Linked DNA regions of Ovis aries. The protein of the gene in region 1 interacts with the protein of each later gene in a pairwise test. Links are inferred from orthologs where the notes say so. Each region holds a gene or a part of one and is shown in the gene's direction. Other genes may lie near its edges.

The links.
Region 2: the proteins of FARS2 (region 1) and RCBTB2 interact in binary tests that used the Homo sapiens proteins (3 or more experiments, as listed by UniProt). The two-hybrid records come from large-scale screens. The link is inferred for Ovis aries from reciprocal best matches to the Homo sapiens genes FARS2 and RCBTB2.
Region 3: the proteins of FARS2 (region 1) and APPL1 interact in binary tests that used the Homo sapiens proteins (3 or more experiments, as listed by UniProt). The two-hybrid records come from large-scale screens. The link is inferred for Ovis aries from reciprocal best matches to the Homo sapiens genes FARS2 and APPL1.

The regions. Positions count from the first base shown.
Region 1 is NC_056073.1:48,397,845-48,401,500, reverse strand, and holds part of FARS2 (phenylalanine--tRNA ligase, mitochondrial), read left to right. Parts: intron 1-329; coding exon 330-490; intron 491-3,656. UniProt on the Homo sapiens protein: Is responsible for the charging of tRNA(Phe) with phenylalanine in mitochondrial translation.
Region 2 is NC_056063.1:18,580,142-18,583,144, reverse strand, and holds the end of RCBTB2 (RCC1 and BTB domain-containing protein 2), read left to right. Parts: intron 1-1,168; coding exon 1,169-1,309; 3' UTR 1,310-2,422; downstream 2,423-3,003.
Region 3 is NC_056072.1:43,947,596-43,951,251, reverse strand, and holds part of APPL1 (DCC-interacting protein 13-alpha), read left to right. Parts: coding exon 1-183; intron 184-1,540; coding exon 1,541-1,593; intron 1,594-2,164; exon of another isoform or gene 2,165-2,179; coding exon 2,180-2,354; exon of another isoform or gene 2,355-2,381; intron 2,382-2,453; coding exon 2,454-2,490; intron 2,491-3,333; coding exon 3,334-3,480; intron 3,481-3,656. UniProt on the Homo sapiens protein: Multifunctional adapter protein that binds to various membrane receptors, nuclear factors and signaling proteins to regulate many processes, such as cell proliferation, immune response, endosomal trafficking and cell metabolism.

The DNA.
Region 1 (3,656 bases):
TTATTTTTTATTTGCAAAGACAGTTCAGAAACATGTTTTAAACATATTTAAAAACTATTAACCTTAACAATCTTTGAACATCACATTTTATTATTATTATTTTTTTACATCACAACCCTTATTTGTCCCTATATTGAAGAGTGGTATCATAGTTCATACCCATGTTCAGATAGGCATTTTTTATAAGCTGGTGATAAACATTCACTGTGTAAATGCACCTTGCCTCTGGTCGGCACCCGCTGAGGTCCTGTCCGGGTGTTAGGAGTGGGATGGACCTGTGGCCCCTCGTGCCCTTTAACCCTCTTTCTGGTCTCCCCTCCCCGCTGCAGCTGGAGCTCAGGACCGGATCGGCTGGGCCTTCGGGCTGGGGCTGGAGCGGGTGGCCATGATCCTCTACGACATCCCCGACATCCGCCTCTTCTGGAGCGAGGATGAGCGCTTCCTGAAGCAGTTCCGAGTGCAGGACATCAACCAGAAGGTGACGTTCCAGGTGAGTGACGGCGGGAGTCCCGTGAGCACGAGTAACAGGGTCACATGCTGTAAAGAGGATCAGTGATTTAAAGGCAATGTGGCCTTGCAGAGCGCTTTCAGTAGAGATTCATAAGCACACAGGAGATCCATGGACCTTCTAAAAGTATATACTGATAAAAGGAGATTTATCAAGCCTGTTAGTCTAAGCAGGGAACCAACTTTGGGCTTCTTTAATGTCTGTTCTTCATGAAATATCCATCTTTATCACTGATGATACTTTCACAGTTCAGTTTTTTGGTTTTTTTTTTTATGCTAATCTAGACACATTGACTTTCTTATGATTAGTGTTTGCAATGTGCATTTTTTTCATCATTTTATTTTCAGTTTCTGTCTTTATATTAAAAGCACGTCTCTTGTAAACAGCTGGGTCTTTTTGTAAACCTGCATTTAATTGGGGTGTTGACTCTTTGTTACACTCAATATATTACATGGGATATTCTTGGGGTTAATTTTTACTATATCTTTCATTCTCATCTATTTTCCTTTTCTGTTCTTTTTCTTTATTTGGAAATTGAGATTTTGTGCGGGGGGTTGTTTGTATTATATTTTATTACTCTATTGCTGTTTAGTTTCTCAATTTTATATTATTTTTAAGTGGTTATTCTAGATTACAGTATGCATAATTAATTCATCACACTTTACCATGAGTAACCAGGGTATTAAAACTCCATGAAACATTTAATGTTACAATACTGTAATTCTATTTACTCTTTCTTTCTCTTGTATTATTACTATCATATTTTATTCCTCTGTATATTATAATCCCACAATACATTGCTCTGTTTGCTTCGAATAGCCATTGTCCTTCAGAGGAAGTTAAGACTGCATCTTTCTTGATATTTGCCCATTCCTCGCTGCCCTTCATGGTTTTTCATAACCATTTTCTGTAAGTCTGAAGGACTTCCTTTACCGTTTCCCGTGGTGCAGCGTGAGTTTTCCCGGCTTCTGTTTGGAAATGCCTCTGTTTCGTCTTTGTTTTATATTAGTGATATTTTCCATGGACATAGGCGTCCAGGTTGCCAGTAATGGTGCATGCTTTATTTTTTCCTCTTAGTTCTTTAAAATGTGTCATTTCGTTGCCCCTGTCTTTTCACTTTGGGTTTTGGTGGGTTGACCTGTGTGTGACCTTCTGTCTATTATCTTCCTTGGGGCTTCAGTGTGTTGAATTAGTGCTTTTCAACCCTTTTTGAAAAGCCTCACATCTCTTCCAACAATTCTTTCTTTCTTGCTTTTCAGACTGTGACTACGTGTGTATCAGCGCATTTGGGTTTGTGCCACAGAACTCTGGTGCCCAGGGTGTGCTTTTTATTACTGACTTTTTTCCCCCACTGTGTGCTTTATCGTGGGGAGTTTTTCTCGTCTTTTCTTTGGGTTTCCTCGTCTTCTCTATTGTGTCCACGTAACCACTAAGCCCCTCCAGCGAGTTTTCATTCCAGCTTTGCACTCATCACTTCTCCGGTTTCTACTTGCATCCTTGCGACTGATGAGATGCTCCATCCCTTCATCCACTTTGTACAGTTTCCCTTAAGCTCTCTGGGCTGCTCGTGACCGTGACGCTTAAGTCTTGGTCTGTTATTTCCAGGCTCTCAGTGCTCTGTGCCCCTTTTAGTCTCCTTTCTTCTTAGTTATGGGTCACATTTTGCTGCTTCTTCACTCCTCTTAGTTGTTAAGTGTTGGCAACATGTATCCTCAGGAAGCCTTACCCTCTCCTTGGGCAGGCAGCAAAGGCAGCGAAGCCGGGTCGCTTCGTCACAACCAGGAGTCGAACTGGATTTTGCGTCTCCTTAAGTTTGTGTAAGAAGCTTAACTTCTGGCGGAGGAGGGTGGGGCAGTTAGGATTTGATAGTGGAGACAGTAGGTCTCTGTAAAATGCCTTGTGAATTATAGATCACAGAGAGCTACTTCCTAATGACTCCCTTATAATTAGTATCTATTGACTACATTGTGTCAGTTTCCCGTGGCTAATGTTACAAATTACCACAAAGCTAGCAGGTTCAACCCATATGTCTCTCTTACTTTAAAGCCCTGGAGGTCAGGAATTCACAGTCAGTCTGCAGGGCTCAGGCTCAGGGGCAGCGGGGCCGGCCCCGGGGGCTCCAGCAGAGACCCTCGCCTCCTCCTGCCTGGGTCAGCTTCCGGGCTGACTGCGGTCCTTGACCCCTGACTGCATCGCACCGCGTCCCCCCTTTCCTTCCCCGTGTGGCCGCTCTGCCTTCCCTCTGCGCATTTGTCTCTTGTCACAAGTCCCCTTGAGACGGGCTTATCTCCACCCACTAAGATGTTTTCTCCGTCACATCCGTGAAGCAGTCTCTGAGTGTCAGGTAACAGATCCACGGGCTCCTCGGATGAGGAAGTGGACATCTTTGGGGGCCGTTATTCAGCCCATCACATACACTTTGGTTTTTTTAAACAAAGCGTTCTTTGTTTGCTTGGCTGCGCCGGGCCTTAGTTGTGGCACGTGGGGTCTCCAGCTGTGGCGTGTGAACTCTAGCTCCCTGACCAGGGATTGAACCCGGGCCCCCCTCGCTCGGGAGCGCAGAGTATTAGCCACTGGGCTACCAGGGAAGTTCTGCATATACCTTTATCTGTTCCATTTCCATCACGGCAAATTGCTTGCTTCAGATAGGATAGAGGAGATTTTGTTGTTTGCTGTAAGTAATATGAAAGTGTGAGCAGTTTCTGACCATTTGTGTGGAGTGGTCGTGGGTCTATACATGAAGGAAACAGGGACTCCTCTGTCACTGACTGACGTTGGCCTGTCCGAGGAAGAACACGTAACATGATTACGAACGATGGTGAGGCTGAGCCTGAAGGCACGACGCGTTGGCCGCCGCCAGCCATTCAGTGACGGTGAGACGGTGGGTCTCCTGTCGCCCATCGTCTCTGAGGTCGGTCGTAGTTAGACTCCTGGGAAGCCGGCGGTCGGGCGGTGGTCTCCCTGGGGTACCAGGCATCAGCTGCAAGTGCTGCTCTGGGAGGACGGGGAGTTTCTTACGGCCAAGGTTGGCCGTTTCCCCTTAGTTTGTGTCTTCCCGCGGTCATGGTTCAGGGCCCTATAGTCTGCGCATTAACTTATTTAGTGCCTTATAACACCTGTCATTTGTTGGGTGCTGGGTACAAGTCAT
Region 2 (3,003 bases), on another chromosome or scaffold:
ACTGGCTCAGCAGATGTCCACCGAGTGCCCATTAAATGCCTGACACCATTCTAGGCACTCGAGGGTACAAGAAGTGAACAAAACAGACCAAAAGCTCTGCCCTCATGGAACTTTCTGGTGGTGAGGGCAGTAGATAAACTAATACAATATGTGTTCTGTTAGGTGGTGATAAGTGATATAAAAAAGTTAGGGAAGGGCAGTGGGAGGAGGGAGGCCAGACTGAGATGAAATCTGAAGGTTTCGATTGTGGTCGAGGAAGGAAGGGAGGTCTCACCAAGGAGAGCCGAGCACAGCCATGAAGGAGACACTGGAGGCTATGCAGGCCAGGGCCCAAGGCCCTGGGTCTCCACAGGCCGGCCTGCCTCGCGCTCTCAGTTCTCTGGGGCCAGAAGTGTGTCCAGCCGCCTGATTTCTGAGTCTCAAGTTTGCAGATCTTATCAAGGGAATCACTATGGGACTTTTTTTTTTTGGCCTGGCGTACATTACAGTAAGCCAGAAATCACCAAACTGGAGTTTCTCTCAGCAGAAAGTTGTGATTTCTTCCAAGCACTTTCCCACTTCAGAGTACTGAAGCTCTGTATGATCCGATGAAGCCTAACCATCCCAGCCTTGTCTTCTTGTGAAGGAGAAGAGAGCAGTGGTCTGTTCATGACTTCAGAGAAGCAGTTCCCCAGATGACTCTTTCATAGCATAAGCTTTCCTCACAAATTCTTTACAGGTAGAACTATTTAAGCCCCATAAGAATATAAAAGAGGAGTGTTGGGCTGAACATAAAGAAAATCTCTTAATCAATTTACTCTATGCATTCACACAATAAAGAAATATTTATTACACAAACAAAAAAGAGTGTTGTACTCTGAATAAGTAGTGAAAGAGGAATGAACAATGCCCATCAGTGCCTATCTCTGGGAAGAAAAAGTCTCAACTTTTTTGCATTGGTTACTGTGGATGAACTTGAATGCTTTCCTGTTATTTACATTTTTACAAGCATAGACTCATATCAGCTGTATAGTTTTACAGCTATTCTTTAGGTACCGCTGTCCCAGCAATTCTTTCTGTTGGCCATCAAATCTTCTTTCCTCACCTGTGTGTTTTAGGAATTTTTGTGCTATGTTGCATTGCATCAGGGTATGCGAATTTGCTAAAACGTTTCTGTTGTCGTCCCTAGGACTTAGAAGAATTCTGCTTCAGGTTTTGCATAAACCATTTGACTGTAGTAACACAGACTTCGGGCTTTGCAGAAATGGACCATGATCTCTTGAAGAACTTCATCAGCAAAGCAAGCAGAGTTGGAGCCTTTAAAAACTGACCCTCACCTGCAGGAAAGAATTTCTAGTGTTTCCACTCTCCCTGCAACAGCCAGAGAATAACTTCTCCTTAATAGTGTTGATGATGAGCTACATTTGGGCTGAAAATGTTCTGTCAAAACAAGGGGATGGTGGTGAGTCTTCCCCACCTTCTGAAATCCACTGTCTACAAGAGAAGGCATTAAGTGCTCTGTTCAGATGGAACTAAGCTCAAGGGGAAAAAAATTGAAATGTCTTACTGTATTTACCATTTCCTCTTACGAGTCACTTAAGTTGGAGACTTTTGGTACAGGGGTCTAAGTGTATGCTATTCTGGCCAAATTTGCATATTCAACAGGCTGGTACCACACGGATAAGCTTGACCAGGAATGCTGTCACTAGCTCACTTTCAGCATCCAGCACAGTGCCTTGCATATAGTAGGCACTCAACTTATTATCAGTTTTAATCATGCCTGAACAGCTTTTTATTTATGGGACACTGGATGAAGGAATAACTTAGGTAAAACAAATGTAAAACAACTGAGTTTCCTATTCTTATGGTACATTGTTCTGAGGAATAGTGGCTAATTTAGAGCATTAATTAGAATTCACAAAAGGCCTTGGCAGTTAAATTGTTGAAGATCCAAGGGCTAATTTTAATTGTTTTACTCTGAGTCATTATTTCTCATATGAAATCACTGAGTATGAAATACTTTGAGTGAGTGTTATTCCTGGGCTCATTTGCCTTACATAATTGCATAATGTCCTTTTACTTTTGTGTTAAGAGATTTGCCTCCATAAGTAAAAATGGTTTTCTCTTGTAGTTGATTTTTATGTCACCACAAAACAGGTCTTTTAACTTGGCCCAGTGTGATGATAAAAGTAGCAGCCAAAAAGGAACTAATACATTTCATGGGCAGCACTAGCAAGAATGAGGTAAATTTATACTTTTTCAATCAAGTTACCCAGCTGCGAATGAGAAACTGGAACAGGATGTAGGCTGCAGCGTCAGGCTCCTAATGTGTATTTCCCAACAAGATACTACTATGCGAAGAAACCTCTTTTGGAATTAGAAACCTTGTTCTGATGCTGAACTGTTTGATAATAAAGTGCTCATTTGTAGGTAACAGAACAAATGTGTTTTTTTAATTCATCAGAAGCAGCAAGATTCTACCAACCTTATGTCTCTCAGATACACATGGGTTGTTTCATACAAGCTAATTTTTTAAAGCAGTCACTCAGATAAGGCATCATAGCAAAGCCTACCCTAAAACATAGATGACTTCTAAACAGTTTAATTACTATTCATCCACTTACCTACAAGTGAATGGTCTTTACTGGTGAGGTCACTTGAATCCTTGTTTTTGTTGATCTGTTTTTGCAGACCTGGTCTGGTAGAGGCCAAGGAGTCCAGATGTCTCTAACTAAGTCAGAATCCCATTTTTGGAACTACACAGTTTGGGTTATTTTAAAACAGCCTCACCCCATGTGTCTGAATGTTCTGGTAGGTTTACTGTCTCTCCAGCAAAGAAACATCGAGGCTTGGGTGTTACCAGCCAGCTTCAGTTCTCACAGTCAGATGTCCACAGGCTTCATTCACTTCTGACTTCTCCTCACCCTGCTATGCTTGCTGTCACTGACCAAAAGCCTTTGTATTTTACAATGTCTTCCCGAACCTTCTCTTCCTCTTTCTTGCCCTTTTCGGGCAGTCTTCTGA
Region 3 (3,656 bases), on another chromosome or scaffold:
ACAATCTCGGCCACCCACAGCTCGAACCAGCAGTTCAGGATCCTTAGGATCTGAGTCCACAAATTTGGCTGCCCTCTCTCTAGATTCTCTTGTTGCCCCAGATACCCCTATACAGTTTGACATTATTTCTCCTGTGTGTGAAGATCAGTCTGGCCAGGCAAAAGCCTCTGGCCAGGGAGGCAGGTGAGTGATAGGTCTGTAAAGCTGTAAGGCTTATGAGTCCAGTTCTACAGTTGAGAGCCATCTCTCACATATCTTGTGCATCAGCTATGTTTTTCTTTCTGTAATTACCTACCAGAATTTTGATAGTTGAAGAGGAATCATGAAGGCTTTTCTCTGTTTTTGCCTCAGTTAAATGAGTTCAGATAATTTAGTTTTAGAAATATTCAATTCTGAATGGTTTATCAGATCTACTTCTAAGGTATTTACTCTTAAAATTACAGAAGAAAGGTGACAGTCCTGTGACAATAAAGTTGATATCATGACAATATTTTAATATATAAGAGTAATATATATGTGCCATAGGTTTATTGGAAAATGTTATCTTGTGTTAGAATAAGAAATCTCCAGCAAGGTACTAAGACATTGTCATGCTATGAATTATTAATGAATTATCTTTATTTATATAATGATAAATCCTTGTCAAAGTCATTAAAATTTTTCTTTGATTATGGATGAGGGAAATATGGCTTCAGGCAAATCGTTTATTAAGTAGGTTGGACACTTAATAAGTTGATAATGTAGTAACTGGGTATACATGAGTGAGGCAAAGAAAGAATAATTTACATTTGATCATAGGAAAATACTTAGCATTTGATATAATAGGTCAGATACATATTAGGGAGGTCAATTTTATGTTATCTGAAAGCCAGTGTTATCTTAGAACCACTTAGCTCTCTGTTTGCTTATAAATCCTACTTTGGATTGTACTTTTCTTCCTTTATTGTGGGTGTGTCATGAGCCAAGCACACTTAGGAAGGAAGTTGCTTCCATCTCTGGTTAGTTGGTTCTTCTTGCATTCTGTTACGTGTGCCTTGAGAAATCAGGTCTAATTCTAGAAAATGTTCAAATTATTGTAGTTAATTTGCGTCACATACTTAGAGGACCTAAAAGGTTTTTTGTGTTTTTTTTTTTTCCCCCACAATCCAAGGAAATTCCTACATTTTTCTCATATAACTAAAGTTGAAGCTAAATTAGCCATTTCTCTGTCCTAGTTTATTTAAATTCAGGAACTTTTGCAACATAGTTTATTATAATGTTGATTTTTATGTTTGTGGCTAAACATCCTGTCTGTCTACATTTTCTGAGATATAGCAACTTTGAGTTCAGCCGATTAGTGTGAGGGCAGGGGCCTTCGTAACAAGTAAGTTGGTCATCAGTAGTGTTCCTTAACAAGAAGGGATATTTTTGAGCTTTAAAAAAATGTGTGTACAAGGTTTTCTGACTTTAGTTTTTAATTCTGGGTTCAGTGATTGAGATTGGTTCCCTGTGGCTCATGGTGACTGACCACTGGATCATAATTTTTTAAAATACTTTTCAGGCGTACAAATCCATTTGGAGAATCTGGAGGAGGTACAAAGTCTGAAACTGAAGGTAAAATAAGTGTAGTGTTCTTATATTTCAGAGATTCTCAGAGCAGTAAACTGAGAGAAGAATTTGTTGTTTACATTTGTTCTGCTGTGTGTTTTAACCGTATCTTTCCTTCAGTTTTTTCTTTTTACTCCTAGTGCACTTAAAGCAACAGAACTTACTCAGACTTAAGATTTCGTTATTCACACAAAATTATAGAATCTCATACTTTCGACCTCATAGTCAGGTTCTCATTGTGTAAGATATCCTTTGACCTTCCTAACAGCTGTTTTCTTCTGGTTCTGGAGCATAATTTTTTTTTTTCTTTTTCCCATACTTATTTACTTTGATATAATTTCAAACTAACAGTAAAGCTGTCAGAATAGTAAAAGGAATTCTTTTAACTCAGAACCACCAGTTGCTGAAGCATAATCTTTTGCTCTTGGAATTTGAGATCTTACTTTTTCTGTAACATGAACACTGTAGTTAGGAGTTATTTCTGAGTGCTTCAGAATATTTCACTGGAAAACCTAAAGAGGGCAGTGTATTTAATTCCATAGGAAAAGAATGTGGGATTTAAAATTACATAATGTACCTTGTTTTGTTGTAGAGTCTATTCTTCATCAGTTGTTTATTGTCCGATTCCTTGGTTCTATGGAGGTGAAATCAGATGACAATCCAGATGTTGTTTATGAAACAATGCGCCAAATTTTAGCTGCCCGGGCCATCCATAACATCTTTCGTATGACAGAATCACATTTATTAGTCACTTGTGATTGTTTAAAGTAAGTAGTAACCTGTCCCTCAAAAAACTGTGGGAAAAAATATTTATATAATTGTAGCATAATTAACATTTTTTCCCTAAATTTTATTTATTATTATAGGTTAATTGATCCACAGACACAAGTTACAAGGCTCACGGTGAGTTCTGCATGTTTAAAGCTTTAAGTCTTTTTGTACATATACACATCTTACACATCTGATAATCGTGACTGAATATTTGGATATGGAAGCATGAATTATGATTGATTTTTAGGTGGCTATAATTGAGTTTATGGCCATCTCTCCAAAAAAAGTTGTAACATCCCATGTAGTTGAAAGAATCAGTGCAGTCTGATGTGATATTTAGTATTCATATTTATCCGTCAGTTAGGGAGCATATAGCATACCCTAAAGAAGGTAGCTCAGATAGTAAAGCGTCTGCCTACAGTGCAGGAGACCCTGGTTTGATTCCTGGATCAGGAAGATCCCTTGGTCAGAAAGATCCCCCGAGAAGGAACTGGCAACCCACTCCAGTATCCTTGCCTGGAAAATCCCATGGACAGAGCAGCCTAGTGGGCTACAGTCCATGGGGTCACAAAGAGTTGGACATGACTGAGTGACTAACAAAGAAACTAACAAATTAAGGAATTAAAAGGCCAACATGGTTGAGTTTATTTTATAATTATCTATTTTGAAATAGCTGCAGGTGTGTGCTTATTTAATCATTTAATAACAGAGATCATATTTGTTACTGAATTTGACTTTGTAAAATGTGTTAATGACTAATAAATTCAGTATTCAACAACCTTTTAACGTTCCTGGCAATCCAAACCAAATGTGAGATTGTTTGTTCTTGGATTACCATTCCGTTAAGAAAAATGATTGACTCTAATGTTCTGTTTATGTTATTTAATAACTAAGTACATGCATTTGTCATATATAGAAGCGCTGTTACAATGATCTGAAAAAATCTCACGTTTGCTTCTGATGTTTTCTGTGCAGTTTCCATTACCCAGTGTAGTTCTGTATGCTACACATCAGGAAAATAAGAGGCTTTTTGGATTTGTTCTTCGGACATCAGGAGGGAGAAGTGAAAGTAACTTGTCATCAGTCTGTTACATATTTGAATCAAACAACGAGGGTGAAAAGGTACGTGGCTTTTCAAAATGTGTTTCTATTATAAAATATGTGTCAAAGTTCTTACTAAGATTTCTGGATAAAACTCCCAAACTTTGTCTAGTCCAGCTGAGTTGCTTCACCAAAGTCTATTGTTTTGAAGAAAGCTGAGCTGATGGGTTAGGCTATCTGACTCCACAGACCTGTGT